5 linked regions of the Macaca fascicularis genome follow. The protein of the gene in region 5 interacts with the protein of the main gene of each other region in a pairwise test. Links are inferred from orthologs where the notes say so. Each region holds a gene or a part of one and is shown on either strand. Other genes may lie near its edges.

Region 1 (4,247 bases), about 3.1 Mb from region 5:
CACAGAGCAGGGGACTCTGGGTTGCAGGTGTGGCCTGGCTTGAGTAGGCTTTAGTGGGCTTCTCTCTGCCTGCACCACCCCCGGGCTGGGTGGTTGTCTCTGAGGCCAACCCTACTCCCTAATGGGCAGGCTGGACAGCTGCCCTCTCTGTTTGCCCCTCTACCACCCAAAAGGCGGGAGGCTCTGGAGACCAGGACCCTGCCTGCGCCGGCCTGTGCCCCAGGCGTGAGGGGGTGCCCCACAGATCTCTGCTGAGCTGAGGCTGAATGGCACCCCTTGGGGGTCCTGCCAGGTCAGAGCAGGGTGCTTTCCCATACAGAAACGCCCCCAGGTCGGGACTCATTCCTGTGGGAGGCGTCTTGTGGCCACCGCTGCTTCTCGCTGCACTAATCACAGTACCTCTGTGGGCAGCAGGCGCTGACCATCCGGGCCTGCCTCAGACCCTCTCCTCCCTTCCGGGGCGCTGCGCTGGGACCGATGGGGGGCGCCAGGCCTGTGGGCACCGCCCTGCAGGGGCCGCTCCAGCTCACTGGAGGGTGGGGAGGGTCACACTTGGGGTCTTCAGATCGCGCCGACCACGCGCAATCTCTGCGCTCTGCGCAGGGGCTCGCCCACCCTCTCCCCGTGCAGCGAGTCCCCAGCAGGCTCCCCGCAGGGCTGTCCAGGTGAGCCTGGCTCTGGCCGCGGGCCAGTGTGGCGGGCGGGCAAGCCCCGAGGCCACCTCGGCTCAGAGCCCACGGCCGGCTCTCGCCCAGCTCCAGACGTCTGCGAGGGTTCCATTCCGCTTGGGCCGGCGCCCCGCGCGCCGCGCCCTGGCCCCGCCCCGCCCTGGCCCCGCCCCTCCCTCACCCCGCCCCCTCTGCACCCCACCCCTCCCTGGCCCCGCCCTCCGCGCCCCACCTCTCATCTTCCCGCCCCACCCCCAGCCACGCCCCTCACGGTCAGCCCCCTCCCCTATCCGCCCCGCCTCTCATCGTCTCGCCTCGCTCCGCCCCTCAGCCGTCCCGCCCCTCAGGCGCCCTGCCTAATGTCCCCGCCCCCAGCCTCGCCCCGCTCCGCCCCAGCCTCGCCCCGCCCCGCCCCTCAGGCGCCCTGCCTGCTGTGCCCCGCCCCAGCCTCGCCACGCCCCTCGTTACCATGTAGTCCCGCCCCGTTCCTTCCGCGTCCCGCCTCGCCCTGCCCCTTCACAGCTTCGCCCCACCCCATTACAGTCTTGCCACGCCCCGTCCCCTGTCCGTTGAGCCCTGCTCCTTCGCCCAGGTGGGGCGCTGCGCTGTCAGAGGCTTTGGTGGCTCTGTGAGGCAGAACATGCGGGCGCAGGGACTGGCTGGCTCCCTGGCCAGTCATTGGCAGAGTCCGCAGGCTAGGGCTGTCAATCATCCTGGCCGGCGTGGCCCCGCCTCCGCCGGCGCAGCGTCTTGAGACGCAAGGCGCCGCGGGGGCTGCCGGGACGGGTCCAAGATGGACGGCCGCTTCGGTTCCGCTTTTACCCGCGGCCCAGAGCCCCATTCATTGCCCCGGTGCTGAGCGGCGCTGCGAGTCGGCCCGAGGCCTCCGGGGACTGCCCAGCCGGGCGGGAGACCGCCATGGCGACCCTGGAAAAGCTGATGAAGGCCTTCGAGTCTCTCAAGTCCTTCCAGCAGCAGCAGCAGCAGCAGCAGCAACAGCCACAGCCGCAGCCGCCGCCGCCGCCGCCGCCGCCTCCTCCTCAGCTTCCTCAGCCGCCGCAGGCACAGCCGATGCTGCCTCAGCCGCAGCCGCCCCCGCCGCCGCCCCCGCCACCACCCGGCCCGGCTGTGGCTGAGGAGCCGCTGCACCGACCGTGAGTTTGGGCCCGCTGCAGCTCCCTGTCCCGGCGGGTCCCAGCCTACGGCGGGGATGGCGGAATCCTGCACCCTGCGGGCCGGCGACACGAACCCCCCCGGCCCCGCAGCGACAGAGTGACCCAGCAACCCAGAGCCAATGAGGGACACCCGCCCCCTCCTGCGGCGAGACCTTCCCCCACTTCAGCCCCGGTCCCGCACTTGGGTCTTGTCCTCCCGCGAGGGGAGGCAGAACCTCGTTGGGACCTGTCCTGAATTCACGGAGGGGAGTCACGGCCTCAGCCCTCTCGCCCTTTCCAGGGTGCGAAGAGTTGGGGCGAAAACTTGTTTCTTTTTATTTGCGAGAAACTAGGGCGGGGGTTTAACTGTGTTCTGAAGAGAACTTGGAAGAGCCGAGATTTGCTCAGGGCCACTTCCCTCATCTAGTCAGAGAGGGAAGAGGGCTGGGGGCGCGGGACACCTCGAGAGGAGGCGGGGTTTGGAGCTAGAGAGATGTGGGGGCAGTGGATGACATAATGCTTTTAGGACGCCTCGGCGGGAGTGGCTGGGGTGGGGGGCGGGGAGTGAGGGCGCGTCCAATGGGAGATTTATTTTCCAAGTGGCACTTAAAACAGCCTGAGATTTGAGGCTCTTCCTACATTCTCAGGGCATTTCATTTAGTTCATGATCGCGGTGGTAGTAACACGATTTTAAGCACCACCTAAGAGACCTGCTCATCTAAGCGCAAGTTAGTGTGCAGGCATTTGAATGAGTTGTGGTTGCCAAATAAGTGGTGAACTTACGTGGTATTAATAAAATTATCTTAAATATTAGGAAGAGTTGATTGAAGTTTATTGCCTGTTTGTGTTGGGAATAAAACTAACACGTTGCTGAGGGGGAGGTTAATTGCCGAGGGATGAATGAGGTATACATTTTACCAGTATTGCAGTCAGGCTTGCCAGAATATGGGAGGTCTGCAGACTCCGTGGACATCTCATGTGCCAGTGAAAGGGTTTCTGTTCGCCTCATTGCTGACAGCTTGTTACTTTTTGGAAGCTAGAGGTCTCTGTTGCTTGTTCTTGGGGAGAATTTTTGAAACAGAAAAAGAGACCATTAAAACATCTAGCGGAACCCCAGGACGTGGGAGTGTGTGCTGAGTGTTTAGCAGGATTTAGGAAGTACTCCGCTGCAGTTCAGGCCTTTCTCTTACCTCTCAGTGTTCTATTTCCGATCTGGACGTGTATCAGATGGCATTTGATAAGAATATCTCTATTAAGACTGATTAATTTTTAGTAATATTTCTTGTTCTTTGTTTCTGTTATGATCCTTGCCTTGTCTTGAAAGTTTAATTAGAAGAGGAGGATTTGGAGAGCAGTGTTAGCTTATTTGTTAGAGTAAAATTTAGGAATAAATTCTTCTAAAGGATGGAAAAACTTTTTGGATATTTAGAGAAATTTTTAAACAATTTGGCTTATCTCTTCAGTAAGTAATTTCTCATCCTTCCAGAAATTTACTGTAGTGCCTTTCTAGGAGGTAGGTGTCATAGAAGTTCACACATTGCATGTATCTTGTGTAAACACTAAACTGGGCTCCTGATGGGAAGGAAGACCTTTCTGCTGGGCTGCTTCAGACACTTGATCATTCTGAAAATATGCCGTCTCTTTCCTGTGCTGATTTGATAGAACCTGCGTTTGCTTATCTTCAAAATATGGGTATCAAGAAATTTCCTTTGCTGCCTTTACAGAGGAGATAGATTTTGTTTCATTACTTTATTTTAAGGTAATATATGATTACCTTATTTTAAAAATTTAATCAGGCCTGGCAAGGTGGCTCATGCCTTTAATCCGAGCACTTTGGGAGGCTTAGGCGGATGAATCACCTGAGGTCAGGAGTTCGAGACCAGTCTGGCTAACATGGTGAAACCCCATCTCTACTAAAAGTACAAAAATTAGTTGGTCATGGTGGCACGTGCCTGTAATGCCAGCTACCTGGGAGGCTGAGGCAGGAAAATCGCTGGAACCCGGGAGGCAGAGGCTGCAGTGAGCTGAGACTGCGCCACTGCACTCCAGCCTGGGTGCCAGAGCGAGACTCTTGTCTCAAAAAAAAAAAAAAAAAAAGAAATTATTATTTTTGCATAAGTAATACATTAACATGACACAAATTCCGTAATTACAAAAGAGCAATACTTAAAATATCTTCCTTCCACCCCTTTCATCTGAGTACCTAACTTTGTCCCCAAGAACAAGCACTATTACAGTTCCTCCTGTATCCTGCCAGATATAATCTATGCATATTGTAAGATAGATTTAAAATGCTGTAAAAATAAAAGTAGTTTACGGTAATAATTTTTTTTCTTTATTTTTTTTGAGATGTAGTCTCACATTGTCACCCAGGCTGGAGTGCGGTGGTATGATCTTGGCTCACTGCAACCTCCACCTCCCAGGT
Region 2 (4,027 bases), about 74 Mb from region 5:
CTGCCCATTTAGGATTCCCCTTGGGTATCTCCTCTGTGCCCACCCAGTCTGAGCTAGGTGCCCTCTGATGGCAGGCTGTGTAGGCTCTCATTGCACTTGGCCACATGGAATGGAAATTTATGGCTTGTCTGCTTCCCACAGTGGACTGGGAGTTCCTTGAGGGTGGTGACTAAGGTTTTAAATCTCTATGTCCCACCCTAACCAAGCACCAGTTACCTTGTAAGTGCTTCATATCTGTTGTTAAGTAAATGAATAATGGAGAACCTAGACAAGGACTTGACAGAGAAGCAAAAGGAACAGTGACTGCCCAAATAGTACTTTTCACCCCTGGAAATGTTGTTACTACCCCGAGCATACAGTGAGCAGTCCACATCCATATAGATCAGCAGACCAAGTGGAATAGAATGAATGGAATGAGCCTGGCTTCTTCAGGCCTGATGCTGAGGACATGTGCCCTACCTGTATGGAGGAGATAGCTCTATCCCCCTCCAAAGACAGTGACAACACAGGTACATACACAAATGTATAGCATGTGTCACAGTCCTTAAAGACATTACATAGGGCTGAGCAAAGTAGGCACCTGTGCGCGTGTGGAGGACATATGGTAGCTCCAGAATTCCAGGAGCCAGCTCAGGGCGGCCCAGAACAAAGCGTCAGGGTGCGGAGGGCGTCTGCATGGGGCAGGGGACAGTGTCATGATGGCAGTTGATGACATTTGGGGGATTGAGTGAATAAGCATATAATATATTAAGGATAATGGGAGCCAGCTTCTGATGAATGTTAGAGAAGGGAGTTACAAATGTAGAAAGGGAGTGTTGGATTGGAATTGGAAGTATGAATTGGAAGTATGAATTGGCAGTATGAATTTATGGCTTTCAATACATATAGATTAATATAGAAATAAATAGATACGTAAATAGAGGAGGAAACTGGGATTCAAAATTAGATCTGTCTAGCTCTTTTCACTGATCTATACTACCGCCCTACACATAGGGCCTCTGCTGTGAAACCTCTGCCCCCTTCCCTGTCCCCCCAGAACCCCAACCCTAACTCACACAGACTTAAAAGATTCCACCCTCGTGGTTCCAGAGCATGCATCACATCTCATGTCATTAGCTGCACACAACTAACTCATGACGTTTTGATTACACTGAGGGTAGGCCTCCTCTTATCTGTATTCCCTGCATCTCCCTTGGAGCCAGGCACATGGTCATCACACTAGTTAGTATTAATATTTATTGTGCAGTTGTTATGCATCAGGAAAGACTTCCCATACATAATCATTCACAGCTGAAGACAACCTTATGAGGGATGTATTACCATCATTCTCATTTTACATATTGGCAAGGTGAGGTTAGCGGTGTTAACTGAGGTACTCCAAGATGCAGAGCTAGTGGGAAGTAGAACCAAGAGTCAAGGCCAGACAGTCTAATTCCTCAGGCTGTGCTCCTTGCCCCTCAGCTCTGCCACCATGGACTTGGTGTAAGTAAATGTTCACTCAACAAATTCCTCCCGGGGGATTTGTGTATCTGAATGCTCTCCCTCAATCCAAGTCCACTCTTTATGCTGAGCTTACTTGAAGCTCACCTCTTTAGGGAAGCCCCCCACCCCGCCATCCTACTCTGCACTGCCTCAGCATTCCTTGGGCACAGGACTTGCACCACGCCCTGACATATGAGCCAGTCAGTGTTGGAGCAGGGAACATAGTTTATCGACATTTGTTGAACTGAATTCAATGCCCAGGAATGGAAGTAAACAGGAATACATGACAAGGTGGTGTATTGTACAGGATACTGTGGCTATCTATTTCTGGATTTTCCTGAGAGTTCCAATTTCTAAAATTCCATCCTCTCATCAGACCATTTGTCAGAATACATGGCCAAGAATGTAGTCTGGAATTTTCTGTAAAGAGTAGGGTCACCATTCTACTGAAAAGAGATAGGAATGAAGACAGGATGTGCTGCTGGTCACCCACAACTCTACACATCCATGAGCAGGTCACAGCTTCTCTCAACCTCTTTATCCATGGGTAAAACTACAATGCAACACCTACTCCTACTGTGGAATGAAACAAAGTCTGTGTGTGAATGTGTTTTAAATACCGATAAAGAATATTGTCGCATAAACCCAGTTACTGTTAGTGGGATTACTTATATTTTTACTGATCTGTCTGGCAAGTCGTTTTCATTTGTCAAAGTAAATAAGCTTTGAATGAAGGCCACTGCAGAAAAAAATAGGGTATAAAGAGAGGAAATGCCAAGGCGTTTCTAGTGTTTTCAAAAAGACACACCTAGATATTTCCATCTTTTAGACTCTCCTCAGTTTGGGGGGTGTGTGTGTCTGTGTGTGTGTGTGTGTGTGAGAGAGAGAGAGAGAGAGAGAGAGAGAGAGAGAGAGAGAGAGGTGAGAACTGGGGGCTGAGTGGGCAGAGGTGACATTTTTAAAAAATGGTATGAGATTCTACCTTGTAGAGGAACTAGGCCATCTTACCTTTGCTGTATTGCGGATCAGTTCCCAGCTGTGTGAAGTCTCAGGTGATAGTCCGTTTGAGAGATGAGTTTTGCTGGCTTAGCAGTAGCTCAGGAAATTTTTCTTTCTCTTTCCAGTATTCTGTGTCCCAGCTATGCATCAAAACTGCTCCACCATTGTACATGCAGGGGTTAACCAGGGCATCCCCTGTCCCTTCTGCAAGGCTTTGGGTAGAGCAGATTCATAAAACTGAGAGCAGCTATGGAGAGCTTAGCGGGAGAGTGGTCCCCTGCAGAGCAGCATGCATTAGCATCAGTGACAAATCTATTCTGGTTTGGATGGGGCTGAGACGCCCCTGAACTTCCTTCTGCTTTTGCCAAAAGCCAAGATCCTTTTGTTCACCTTTAGGGTTGCCAAGTCAGGCCTACCTCGCCCCTAGATGTTGTTTCCTGTGGGCAATGGGAAAATGATCTTGGAGCCAGAGAAGGGAAATCAACAAGGAAATAAACACAGGGTCACCACACCTTCAGGCCATCATTAGGTCTGGAACATTATCATGCTAATAGGCAGGGGCTGCTGACTGGACAGGCCCTAGAATCCTGGGCATCTTTTATTTTTGAATATGAAAAGGGACATGCACCAAAATCTATATCAGGCAAATAAGTAGTTCTGACTTGTTCCAATACCTTGCCAAAACTTTCAAAGATTTTCTCTCGGCAGTATTGCTCATAACTGAACACTGGCTAATGTTTGTGGACAAAGAAAAAGACTGAGCAAGTTTGTGGCTGATACTACTTAAGACTCTTAACTCTAAAGATACAGAATGATTGTTTAAATAAGGATTTCTTCTGCTCATTCTTCAGCATTACCATCGCCATCATTGTCAGCCGCTGCAACATCTTTGCTAACATTTATTAAGTGCTTACTGCCTACCAGGTTCTGTAGTAATTACCTGACCTGCATTATTTAATTTAATTCTCAACAGAATCTATAATTATCACTCCCATTATATAGATAAAGAAACTGAGGATTAGAGACATTAAGTCGTTCCTGCAAAGTGACCCAGCTAGTTAAAAATGTAAACGTTGCGCTTCTGGAAGTGTGCTTTTCTGAGTTTTGCTTTTCCCACTGGTTTGCTTAAGCACTTCTGTGGGATGACAGCTCCAGTGATGGCCAAAGATTTTGCTTAAATAAGCGATAAGCTCTGGGAATTCGATTCTAAGTAGAAATGTGAATAATTAGTGAATTAAGTAGTCTCTTTCCAGAGATGTGAATCGGGAGCTCGGTGTTATCTTATGTATGTGCAACATGCAAGAAAGACACATGGAGTGCAGGTACTTGTGGCTCCCTAATTACAGGTGGTGCCGCTGGCTGCGGTGCCTTCAGCTCTCCACTGTGACTCTGATTTACAAACAAGGAAGTACACTGCAAATTCCTTGGCCTCTGTGTGCATTTTGGTCATGGCCTGATTGCCACTTTGTCCCTTTGACTTTCGGAGCCAGCTGCTACAAGTTTCTTTTAATCAATAATCCACGGAGTGAATGAGGCAAAATTGCCA
Region 3 (4,015 bases), on a different chromosome or scaffold from region 5:
GCCATTCTCCTGCCTCAGCCTCCCAAGTAGCTGGGACTACAGGAGCCCGCCACCATGCCCGGCTAATATTTTATATTTTTTAGTAGAGATGGGGTTTCACCATGTTAGCCAGGATGGTCTCAATCTCCTGACCTCGTGATCCGCCTGCCTCGGCCTCCCAAAATGCTGGGGTTACAGGTGTGAGCCATCGGGCCCAGCCAATTTTTGTATTTTTAATAGAGACGGGGTTTCATCATATTGGTCAGGCTGGTCTTGAACTCCTGACCTCGTGATTTGCCCGCCTCGGCCTCCCAAAGTGCTGGGATTACAGGCATGAGCCACTGTGCCCGGCTGAGAGTGTTTCTTAAATCTGAGATACTTGCTGACTCAGACCCATGTGAAGGACCTATCTTCCCAAGGACAGGATGGACTGGCCCACTGTACTCACCGATCATTTCAAGCAGATCCTTTGTGACCTCTTGGCTAGAATTGTTGAGTGCCATGTTTGAGTCAGCCTTCAAATCTCTCTCCATATCTTTCCTGCAGCCCCCAGGTTGGGGGGAAGAAAAGGTGGGGAATTAGATTCTCTTTCAAGAAAATATTGAAGGGAAACTCAGTTTTAGATAATCTCAAAGACAAAAACTTACTGGTGATCTTGTCATTTATGCTTTGATTAGAGGACAATTGGAAATTGCTACGTCAGTGGAGAAACTAACAGCTTTACCATAATAACTCACATGACTGTATTACAGACTCACATGACTGTATCAGACTGTATTAATTTTTTTTCTTTTTTAGAGACAGGGTTTAGCCATGTTGCCCAGGCTGGTCTCGAACTCCTGGGCACATACGATCCACTCACCTCGGTCTCCCAAAGTGCTGGGAATACAGGCATGAGCCACCTCACCCAGCCTGCATTTGTTTGTTTCATTTATTTATTTATTATTTTATTTTATTTTTTTGAGACGAAGTCTCACTCTTGTCCCCCAAGCTGGAGTGCAATGGCGCAATCACAGCTCACTGCAACCTCTGCCTCCCGGGTTCAAGCGATTCTTCTGCCTCAGTCTCTGGAGTAGCTGGGATTACAGGCGGCCACCACCACGCCCAGCTAATTTTTCTATTTTTAGTAGAAACGGGTTTCACCATGTTGGCCAGGCTGGTCTCAAACTCCTGACCTCAGGTGAGCCATCCGCCTCAGCCTCCCAAAGTGCTGGGATTCAGGCGTGAGCCACTATGCCCAGCATTTTTTTTTTTTTTTTAGATGGAGTCTTGCTGTTACCCAGGCTGGGGTGCCGTGGCAAGATCTCAGCTCACTGCAATCTCTGCCTCCTGGGTTCAAGCAATTCTCCTGCCTCGGCCTCCCGAGTAGCTGGGATTATAGATGCGCGCCACCACGTTCGGCTACTGTTTGTGTTTTTAGTAGAGACAGGGTTTCACCAGACCTCAAGCAAGCCACCCACCTCAGCCTCCCAGTGCTGAGATTACAGGCGTGCCACCACACCCAATAAGGCCTGCACTGCTTATGAGTACCAATTTATTTGTGGAGTTGAAAGGAAAAAAATTTTTTGTGGAGCTGAATGAATTAAATGGCCTCTTTATTCCCTTCCTATGAAGCAGCCAAGATGGCAGAACTTTGAAGCTTCATCTCTTATGTTCATCCCTTCTCCAAGTCAAGCTGTCTGGGACCAGGCAATTTCAAGTTACTTGAGAGAAGAAAAAGTCTAGAGGAGACCTGGTGATGGTCCAAAAAACTCTGGGGTAAGAGTGGGGAGCAGAGGCAAAGATAAGCCAGGAAGTAGGGCCCAGACTTCAATTCAGCCTCTCCCTAATGTGGGCAAAGGAGGGTATCAAAGGCCCCAGTGTCCAGATTCAAACACAGAAGTTAAGATGGAATTAAGACTTTTGTTTCTGCAACTTAAAAAATAAGGTTATTTTAAACACCAGGTTATTTTACATCCACTACCCCTTTGGGTACTGCAAAGTGGTTTCCATGACTGGTTTGACATCAACGATTGACAACTAGCCCCTCAACTGGAACATATACACAAAATATAACTGTTTCCTAGGCCAGATTCTGAAGAATGTCTATGAACTCCCCAAATGCAGTCACAGAGTTGCCAAGAGGAGGTAAGAGCACTGTCATGAACTAAATCTAGGATCTTCAACAATTTTTTCAAAAACAACAATCCCCTTAATTGTAGCTGTTAAGCTATCAAAATTAGAATCACCTTAAATTTTCTTTTCTCCAGTTTTCCCCCTCTCCTGCAGTTCTCCAAGACTCTCTTTCAGATGCCAAAATGGAGGAATGCATCAATACATTTTCCTTGCTGGTCAGAGGTTTTCTCTCGGGGCACAGAGCATGTGGTTTTGCATTTACCGGGGCATGGTTTGTTGCAAAGGCAGGGTTCTCATTCTCAGGAGCACATGGGACAGCAGCAAAAGGAACAGCAGACGAGCAGGCTGCCAGAGGATGTCTTCTGCAGAGGAGTCTGTGCACGGGCAGCGAGGAGGAGAGCGGCGCAGCGCTCAGTTCCAGCCTCCGCTGGCCTGTGCACTCCTGGGAATAACTAACTCCTTCAAAGGCCCGGTCAATGGCTGCAGTCAGTTCCTTTCTGCATCTTCTTAGTTTTTCAGACATTTCTCCTAAAAGCGACCATGTCTTTATGTAATGCATTGGAAATGCACAGGGCAACACAATAATGTTACAAATAAGGCTGCAAACTACCCCTGAACGGCCACGATTTCCCGGAGCTTGGCCCTGGCTACAGCAGGACCCACAACCCTCGGGCTTTCCTCCTGGAGTAGGCGGTTCTCGGCTATCGCGGAGGAACCCGCGATCTGCCAGAAGCCCCAAGGACGCCCCGCCCCACTTCCCACAGCTTCCTGGCCCGCCCAGCTACTGCCTCTCGCCCCACCGCGGCTCCCAGGCCGCCCGGCCGTACCCCGCACCCCGCCCTCCGACAGGTCGCAGCCACGTCCTTGTCTTCACCCGCAGCGCAGTGACGCCTACCCAGCCAACGGTCATCGCATGCGCGCGCCCCGCGCAGGCCCCAGACCCCCACGGATTAGGTTAAAGGTCAAACAAAAAAGCCCAGACCCGTATGTCCGGTTCCTTAAGGCCTTGTGGCCCCACACGCAGCAGCTGGCCCCTCGGTGGGAGTGGGGACGGGTCTTTCGACCCGGGTCCCGGTAAGAGTCTTGGCAGGGATGAGGAAAGAACCTGTTCAAGAAAGCATCTGGGTAACACCAAAATGTATTACTACCCTAAATCGTCATGAACTGGAGCCCTTTCCAGGCTGACAACTCCCACAAAGATTTCTGTTCTCAAGCCAACATGGAAACAACTGGATGGGACACAGCACCAGGCAGTTTTATGTACTGACTTCCTTTAAGTGTTACCTAATAAAAAGTGTGTTATCTAATAAAAGTTCCACGCAGCATTTGACCGTCTTAATTCATCTAGGGTAGCAGGGGATGTAACATAACTGCTGGGTTCCACAGGAGGTTGAGAAGCCAGGATCCCCAACACTAAATATCTTCATTTCCTTAGCGGGGAGAAAGCTGGAAATTACAAGATGACTCAACGGAGAAATGGGCTTCAGTGGGTAACTTTCAAAAAATTATAAACCCGTATCAGTGCACATAGCGAGGGAAAGGGGAGTTTACTTGAGGCTTGGGTTACTGTGAGCAGACTACTTGGGGTGACTAGTATCAGCATCAGAACCAGAAATCCAGGCGCTCAGGGCAGCCCTGCAGGTGGGGTGGGTCTCCAGGCTGCTCCATACTCAGCGCCTGTGTTTCTCTCCATTCTTTGGGATCCATCAGACATACTCCATTGTGTACCCCCATCCCACCCCCTTTTCAGCTTCACAGATTTCACAGAAATTTCTCACCACCTGTTTAAAAATAAAAATAATTCAGCCTCTTGACATAGCTTCTTCTAGGTAAACGGTCTTTTTTTTTTTTTTTTCCCCCTTCTGCTCATAAAAGAAGGGTATTTCCTTGTCTGGTTTTTGGACAGAACACTAGCAGTCTG
Region 4 (3,991 bases), on a different chromosome or scaffold from region 5:
TGGTGGCAGGCACCAGCAGTCCCAGTTACTTGGGAAGCTGAGGCAGGAGAATCGTCTTAACTTGGGAGGCGGAGGTTGCAGTGAGCTGATCAAGCCACTGCAGTCCAGCCTGGGTGACAGAATGAGACTCTGTCTCAAAAACAAAAAAAAGAAAAAAAAACCCTCAGGCCTGGTGCAGTGGTTCACGCCTGTAATCCCAGCACTTTGGGAGGCCAAGGTGGGAGGACTGCTTGAGATCAGGAGGTAGAAACTGCAGTGAGTCGTGATCACACCATTGCACTCTACATTCTAGCCTGGGTGACGGAGTGAGACCTTGTCTCTAAAAGAAGAAAAACAAAAACAACTCATAACACCTAAAAACCCAGCATGCAAGACCTTATCTCCTATTACAAGTGAAGAAGGGAGCACAAAGAGATCAAGCGGCCTGCCCAAGGCCACAGGGTAAGTCAGAGAAACAACTGGAAAGATGGCAGAACAATCTGTCAGAGACTGACCAGAAGGCCCTTCAATTTCTTTTTCTTTCTTTTTTTTTTTGAGATGGAGTTTCCCTCTGTCACCCAGGCTAGAGTGCAATGGCGCAATCTCAGCTCACTGCAACCTCCACCTCCCAGGTTCAAGTGATTCTCCTGCCTCAGCCTCTTGGGTAGCTGGGATTACAGGTGGCCGCCACCAGGCCCACCTAATTTTTGTATTTTTAATAGAGACGGGGGTTTCACCACGTTGGCCAGGCAGGTCTCGAACTCCTGACTTCAGGTAATCCACCCGCCTCGGCCCCTGAAAGTGCTGGGATTACAGGTGTGAGCCACTGTGCCCGACCTGAAGGCCCCTGAATTTTTAACTTCTGCTACACTGGTTTCTCCCAGGATGCCACATTCAGAGGGCTTTGTCCAGTTTTTGTGTAGCTGGGTCTCTAGCCAGGCCCCAAAGGTCTAGAAACAAAAAAGGCCAGGCTAAAAATCAGAAAGCCAGAGGGACTTAAATATCTCTAAAGCAAACTCAAGACAGCACTGAAAGGACACTCCTTCCTATGCCCTGTATGCTTGGACACCATGGTAATGACACTAACTTTTTTTTTTTTTGAGATGGAGTTTCGCTCTTTTTGCCCAGGCTGGAGTGCAATGGCATGATCTTGGCTCACTGCAACCTCCGCCTCCTAGGTTCAAGTGATTTTCCTGCCTCAGCCTCCTGAGTAGCTGGGATTACAGGTGAGCACCACCACACCTGGATGTAGAGATGGTGTTTCACCATGTTGGCCAGGCTGGTCTCAAACTCCTGACCTCAGGTGATCTGCCTGCCTCAGCCTCTCAAAGGTGTGCCTCGGCCTCTCACTACAGGTGTGAGCCACTGTGCCCGGCCGACACTGATAACTTTTTGCCAGCCCTTCTTGCAGTTTTCACGGCAAGGTATTAAAATAAACTCATCTGCAGGGCCAGGAACTGATATACACCAAAAGCAAGGTGACAGTCATATTTTTCCAACTCTGGTCCATGTTGAAGATGACGCTGAGCTTTCTGGACATTAAGAAACAGAACATGTGTTTCCCAGCACTAACTGCAGTCAGCTTGCAGACTGTTCACTCATCTGTCTTCTACTAGACTGTACTCCCCTTGAGGGCAGGGACTAGGCCTGACCAGTCTGTATACTGAGTCTACATATGAGCAGCATAGAACATGGTCCTGGGACATAGCAGGCATTCAACAAATACTTGAACAAGTAGGACCCTAGTCTTCCGTGGACCCCCAATACTCACTGTGCGTGGAAATCCACAACCACTGGCGTCTCACTGTTGACCACTCGGTCTTGAAAGTCAGGTCCATCCTGGATATTAAAGGTCGTCAAGGAGATCCTGGTGGTGTATATTGTCCGGGCTGGGTTGAGTGTTACAGTCAGGCCACCAGGACTGCATTGTGGGGTCTGCAGGGCTCTGGAAGTGAGGGGTGGCCACCGACCCTGAGAAGGATTCCTGGAGATGATGGAGGCCAGGAACCTCCTTAGGAGAAGTCGCTGAGCCATCTGTGAGGGAAGAGGCAGAAGAATTGGGGCACACAAAAGGAAGCTGACACACTAGAAAAATAAAGAGATTTGGGGATTAGTCGGGGCTCAAGAAGAGGCAGAGTGGGAAGCAAAATGCAAGGAAATAATATGTAAGATTTGTAGCGTAGAAGTGAGGAAGCTGAGAAACAAAGGAAAGGAACAGCTAGGCAAACCAGAAGGACAGGAAAACTGGCTTCACAACCAAAAAGAAATCGGGATTTAGATTATAACAGAAGAACGGGAGGGAGAAACCAACATTTAATAATTTATGTAAGGACCAAGTACCTTACACATATTCTTGATCTTCCTACAGCAACTTTGAGGAAGTTGCTATTGTACTGCCCACATTGCAAATAAGGAAAGGCATCCGAGGCTCAAGTAAGTTAATGACATGCCCAAAGTAACCCTACTACTGACAGCCAACACTGGAACCCAGGGTCGTCTGAAAAGATGAAACGCAACAATTGAAGGAGGATCTAAGAGTATGGTAGGAACCAAAAACGAAGAGACATGTACTGGAGGGAACTAATAAAGAAGGGACATGAATGGAGGGAACTGGGAAAAATCGGACGCCACCAGGGACCCCGGCTCTCCGGCGAGCTAGGTCCCCCCCACCCGTCCGGCCGCCAGCCTGCGCAGGAACGCGCTCGCGGCATGCCTATCACACCACCTCAAGCCAGCCCCACTGAGCTCCTACCTCCCTGCAACGCGAGCGGAGGGATGCACAGCTTAGCCCTCCCTGCCTGTCAAGGGCACTTCTGTCGTCACTTCCTCAGGGAGGCGGACATTAACGTCACTTCCGGGGACAGGCAGGCGGAACACCATCCCTCTCGAATATTTTTTTTTGAGACGGAGTCTCGCTCTGTCGCCAGGCTAGGGTGCAGTGGCGCGATCTCGGCTCACTGCAACCTCCGCCTCCCGAGTTCAAGCGATTCTCCTGCCTCGGCCTCCCGAGTAGCCGGGACTAGAGGCGCACGCCACCACGCACAGCTAATTTTTGTATTTTTAGTAGAGGCGGGGTTTCACCATATTGGCCAGGATGGTCTCCATCTCTTGACTTCGTGATCCGCCCGCCTCGGCCTCCCAAAGTGTTGGGATTACCGGCGTGAGCCACAGCCCCCGACCTGTCCCTCTCTAATTTGAGGAGCGTCTGGGATTTTCCGCCAATGGGAATGGCGGGAGGAGGCACAACTGAAAGGGCGGGGCCTCAGCTAGGGACCGGAAGCAATGGGCAGGCCGTCGGGGGAGGGATTGGAAGAGGCGGGCAGGCCCTGGTCGAGACGAAGGCTGGCGCGGGGCGGAACCGGAAGGGGTGGGCGGGCCCTAGAGGAGGGACCGGAAGAGGAGGTGATGGCGCCGGGGTAGCAATGAAGGGTGCTTAAGGGAGAAAAGGCAGTTGAGAGGTCCCCGTGGTTTTTGATTTTGTCAACTACTGTTGCTTGATTTTAATTATATTTATTTATTGGTTAATGACAGAGTCTCGCTCTGTCTCCCAGGCTGGAGTTGCAGTGGCGCGATCTCGGCTCACTGCAACATCCAACTCCCGGGTTCAAACGATTCTCCTGCCTCAGCCTCCCAGGTAGCTGGGATTACAGGCGCGCGCCATCACGCCGGGCTAATTTTTGTATTTTTAATAGAGATAGAGTTTCGCCATGTTGGCCAGGCTGGTCTGGAACTCCTGAGCTCAAGTGATCCGCCCGCTTCAGCTTCCCAAAGTGCTGGGATTACAGGCGTGAGTCACTTTGCTTGGCCTCCTGTTTATAACTGGCGCCGTCCACTTCCTACAGATGTTGACAGGTTCTGTTTCTTCATTTAATAAGTAAAGCTAAGCTCTTCAAAGGCATGGTGCCCTTTATATGTAAAAGAACTCACCCGTGGTTTAGGGGTCATCCTTAAATGGCCCTCGTCTGTGTCCACCTAAAGGAAAACAAAAACTGAGGCGAGCTTAATTTAAGCA
Region 5 (4,169 bases):
TCTAGAACTGTGAGAAGATAAATGTCTGTGTTTAAGCCACCCAGTCTATAGTATTTTGTTATGGTGTTCAGACTAGACTAAGACATCCATCAAGAATGTATAAGAGTTCCAGTTGTTCCACATCTTCCCCAATACTTGGTATTGTCAGTATTTTCAATTTTAGTAATTCTAGTGGATGTACAGTGCTTCCTCGTTGTGCTTTCTAATCTGCATTTCCCTGTTGAATCATGAAGTTGAAAACCTCTTCATATACTTATTGGCCATTCGGATATTCTCTTTTGTGAAGTGCCAGCCTATGTCTTTTGCCTGTTTTAAAATTTTGTCTTTTCCTTCTTGATCTATAGGAGTTCTCAATATATTCTGCATGAGTCAAATATCTTTTTTCACGGTGCCTTGCTCTTTCCCTCTTAATGTTCTTTTGATGAACATCTGCTGGAATGTTGGTGTTTGCAAAACTGTTTCGCACACGTCATCTTACAAATCCCTCTTCCCACTGACAGATATTCAGGCTGGGGCCATTGGTCTTTATCAGACTGGAAAACTGAAGTTCTGATCTGTGGCACTTGTGTAAGAAGGATCCCCCCTCTACACACACTCATATTACTACTAGTGTGGCACTGGGTGACTAAGCCTAGCAATAGACTTCTTCCATTCCACAATGGCATTAGGTTGGTGATCAAAACGTATTGACGATCAAAGCCACATTTACTAGGTCCCTGCTCATTTTCAGGTCTTGTGTGTGGAGGGACATAAAGGTGACCAAGACCAGAACCTGTCCCCAAACAGCCTCCAGTCTGGTAGAGGCACTTAGGTACTAGGCAATTCCTCTCTCTAAAGCATTCTCTAAGGCCCTGCTTGACGCCAGGCTGACGGAAAGGGCGGAGGACAGAACTGAAACAGAAGTTGCCCTTTACCTTGAGGACCTTACAGACTCTGAAGAGAGACCAAAAATCACGGGCCAGAACCACCCAAGGCAGCGAGCGAAATTCCCCCCAGAACAAAAGTATGAGCCAGGGGTGGGGAGGACAGAGGGACGAGTTCCATTCTAGAACACTGAGCAGGGACTGTGGACCCACATTGCTTTGAGCTCAAATCACGACTTTTAGCCCGGTTTTTACTTCTCTTATAGGTTCGTTGTGAGGGCTAAGTGAATTCATATAAATTAATCCAAGCTTCTGCATGCTTAGATAGTAAGCGCTGTGAACGCCAGCCAGTCTTATTCAAATATGGGGAAGGGAGGGTCATTTTTACTTTAAAAAAATAATAATAAAAGTAAAACCCCTCTGAAGGGAAGCTTTAGGGGAAGACGCGAACAAACCTGCCGCCACCAATCTAAATTAGAGAAGAGGGCGAGGCGGGGCGCCGGGAAGCTGACGGGGATAGCCATGCGCGCGCCCGAGACCCCTTTACGTGCGCGCGCCCGCTACTGGGTCTCGCCGAAGGCGTGACCGTAAAGGAGCCCGGCTCTGTCGTGAAAGGGCCGCAAAAAGGCCGAGGGCGAGTTGACGGCTGCGACTCCATTTCGCAGGTCGCTTTGCTGTGTGTATCCACGGCGATTCTTCCCACGGAGTTCTAAAGCTAAAGGCTTACAATTAAAAGGAAGAAAAAAAGTAAAGATAATTCGGGAGTACTATTGACAAAGCGTGTGGGCTCAGCCTCCAGCAATCACTGCTGATCTCCAGTCCCTGGGGGGTTCCGGTAAGAAGAACGCCCCTCCGGTACTGAAGAAGCGGCAGGAGGAGATGCGGCCCCTGGACATAGACGAGGTGGAAGCGCCTGAGGAAGTGGAGGTGCTGGAGCCGGAGGAGGACTTCGAGCAGTTCCTGCTCCCGGTCATCAACGAGATGCGCGAGGACATCGCGTCTCTTATACGCGAGCACGGGCGGGCGTACCTGCGAACCAGGAGCAAGCTGTGGGAGATGGACAATATGCTCATCCAGATCAAAACGCAGGTAGAGGCCTCGGAGGAGAGCGCCCTCAATCACGTGCAGCACCCGAGTGGCGAAGCCGACGAGAGAGTGTCGGAGTTGTGCGAGAAGGCTGAGGAGAAGGCCAAGGAGATTGCGAAGATGGCAGAGATGCTGGTCGAGCTCGTCTGGCGAATAGAGAGAAGCGAGTCTTCTTGAAGGAGGAGATCGGCGGTAAGGTCGGAAACTCGCGGGAGCTTGGATGGAACTCAGTAGTCCCCCTAAGCATGGTTAAACCGCGCCCTGTAAAAAGTTATGTTCTAGGCCTGCATCCCCCATTTTATCGCATCAAAAATTGAGCATTGGGAACAAAGTTGGGGTCAAGAGGAAAGAATGCGTGCTGGTTTTGTTAGGTGTTAGTATACCGTTTTTTTGTGGCCTCGCCCTCCCACACTGGTAATTAGAGAAAAATAAAAGTAACTTCGGGTTTGTTTTTGTGAAACGTAAGTCAGTTCTAATAGGGCAGTCGCCAGGAAGTAGACCTGTCTCGGCACTAAGGGAGTTTGGGGAAAGCCACAGAAGACCTAGGCTGTGGAGCACAATGGAACGCAGGCTGAGAACGCAGGGAAAGAAATAAAAGAGTAAAGCCAGAGGCCATTACCTGAAATTTCCAGACTGTTCTATGAGACAGGTATGTCAGAGGACCGTGTCTCAAAGAAGTGGCATTCTTCTGGGTGGTTCACATTTATTTTTAACATCAAGATATGGAACTTTGAGAGTCAATGTCTTCATGGTAAATTTCTCCCAATTGTGCTTTAGGTTCACAGCTGAGGACTGTAGTCAACTGGTAAGGATGAACTGACACCTTGAGGAAACTGAAACAGCTTGTCATTTTCTCTGTTTTGTTTTTGTATGTTTTTTACCCCCATGTAACAGTCTCCCTTATGGTCAGTGATTGATGACCTCGATATGGATTTAGATCATCAAATGTGTTTGGTTCTGGAAATACAACTTTTGTCGAAGAAATACTTTCACAAGAGAAATGGGGCTTAATTAAGTTGTTTTCGTGGTCACGTTTATTCTTGTTACTTCGCTGTGTTTTTGAAATGTTGGGCATGGCCTTGTATTTTGCTGTTACCTTTGTGACCTGATCGTTTTTTGGAACACGTCAAGACTTGGGATCAGAATCTTCCAACTTTAGAGGTGCAGTGGAAGATACTACGCTGCCTGGTTGAGCCTGGTGAAGAATGTATTAATGAGACTGCTTTGCATAAAGCTGGGAAGAACGAGAAGACAGTTGGAGATGGAAGGTGGTTTTGTATATATTTTGGAACTTTAGTTCCTCTGTGAGATGAAAGAGGAGAGCTATGTTTTGTGGCACATTGTCTGATATATATTGTGTAACCTGTCAGGTGAGTTGATTTAGACCACATAGCTGACCTTTTATGACAAGGCAGTTTGATTAGGAACTGTCGTAATACCCTCACACATTACAGGGGCATCAGAGAATGGCATCGAAGAGACAGTCTACAAAGAGCTTTAAGAGGCCAGAGAAAGGAAAAGACATTATCAGGGCCTGGAAAGTCTCTTCCAGTTCATCAGGGTAGTAGACCTGTCAGATTGGAGGTCAAAGTCAAACGTATAGTAAGTATTAATTTGCCTTGAAAAACAAAGACCTAAAAAGCCTTTTTTAAAAAATAAATTTTTTGTTCACATGACCAAAGCCCCTCCTGTGTGTGTTAATAAAAGAATCATAAATCAATCTTTTTGAAATGGATGTTCTTCACTGAGTGTCATCAAATGGGGTTGAACTGCTTGTAGTTAAAGGCTCTTGGTAAGCCTTTAACTGAGGGAGAATTATTTCTGGAAGGTGCTGTGGAGATGAGCTGACGGAACACTCAGTTCTGAAGAGAAAAACTTTTCGGCTATCCTCTGGGCCAAGCCCCTGCTTTTCAGCAGCAGAAGTGTGTTTAGTCAACCAGTGGGAATGTAACGTGCTTCATATCTTATCCAAGGCACTAGGAACATAAAGGTGAGACATGGATGGGACGAAGGTGTGGGACAGAAATGGAAACAAGGAATTGCGATATAGAGTGTGTGGATATCATGTGGGAGCCCTGAGGAGGGAGTCAACTCTTAGTAGGGAAGTGTGTGAATTCAGAGCAGGTGACTTACCTGGGCCTGAAAAGTAGAAATGAATGAAGACATATAAGGCATAAGGATCAAAGTGAGCAAAAGCCTTTTGAGTTCCAGCACTGGGGA

Evidence for each region.
Region 1: the proteins of MRFAP1L1 (region 5) and HTT interact in binary tests that used the Homo sapiens proteins (3 or more experiments, as listed by UniProt). The link is inferred for Macaca fascicularis from reciprocal best matches to the Homo sapiens genes MRFAP1L1 and HTT.
Region 2: the proteins of MRFAP1L1 (region 5) and LNX1 interact in binary tests that used the Homo sapiens proteins (3 or more experiments, as listed by UniProt). The link is inferred for Macaca fascicularis from reciprocal best matches to the Homo sapiens genes MRFAP1L1 and LNX1.
Region 3: the proteins of MRFAP1L1 (region 5) and C2H3orf62 interact in binary tests that used the Homo sapiens proteins (3 or more experiments, as listed by UniProt). The two-hybrid records come from large-scale screens. The link is inferred for Macaca fascicularis from reciprocal best matches to the Homo sapiens genes MRFAP1L1 and C3orf62.
Region 4: the proteins of MRFAP1L1 (region 5) and TXN2 interact in binary tests that used the Homo sapiens proteins (3 or more experiments, as listed by UniProt). The two-hybrid records come from large-scale screens. The link is inferred for Macaca fascicularis from reciprocal best matches to the Homo sapiens genes MRFAP1L1 and TXN2.

Annotation. Positions count from the first base shown.
Region 1 is NC_088379.1:3,292,314-3,296,560, forward strand, and holds the start of HTT (huntingtin), read left to right. Parts: upstream 1-1,447; 5' UTR 1,448-1,586; coding exon 1,587-1,822; intron 1,823-4,247.
Region 2 is NC_088379.1:80,251,690-80,255,716, reverse strand, and holds the start of LNX1 (E3 ubiquitin-protein ligase LNX), read right to left. Parts: upstream 2,801-4,027; 5' UTR 2,491-2,800; intron 1-2,490.
Region 3 is NC_088376.1:112,265,874-112,269,888, forward strand, and holds the start of C2H3orf62 (uncharacterized protein C3orf62 homolog), read right to left. Parts: upstream 2,801-4,015; 5' UTR 2,654-2,800; coding exon 2,208-2,653; intron 520-2,207; coding exon 428-519; intron 1-427. UniProt on the Homo sapiens protein: Essential for normal spermatogenesis and male fertility.
Region 4 is NC_088384.1:15,187,221-15,191,211, reverse strand, and holds the start of TXN2 (thioredoxin, mitochondrial), read right to left. Parts: upstream 2,801-3,991; 5' UTR 2,732-2,800; intron 2,477-2,731; 5' UTR 2,329-2,476; coding exon 2,320-2,328; intron 2,014-2,319; coding exon 1,751-2,013; intron 1-1,750.
Region 5 is NC_088379.1:6,383,725-6,387,893, forward strand, and holds MRFAP1L1 (MORF4 family-associated protein 1-like 1), read left to right. Parts: upstream 1-1,499; 5' UTR 1,500-1,742; coding exon 1,743-2,126; 3' UTR 2,127-2,141; intron 2,142-2,726; 3' UTR 2,727-3,669; downstream 3,670-4,169.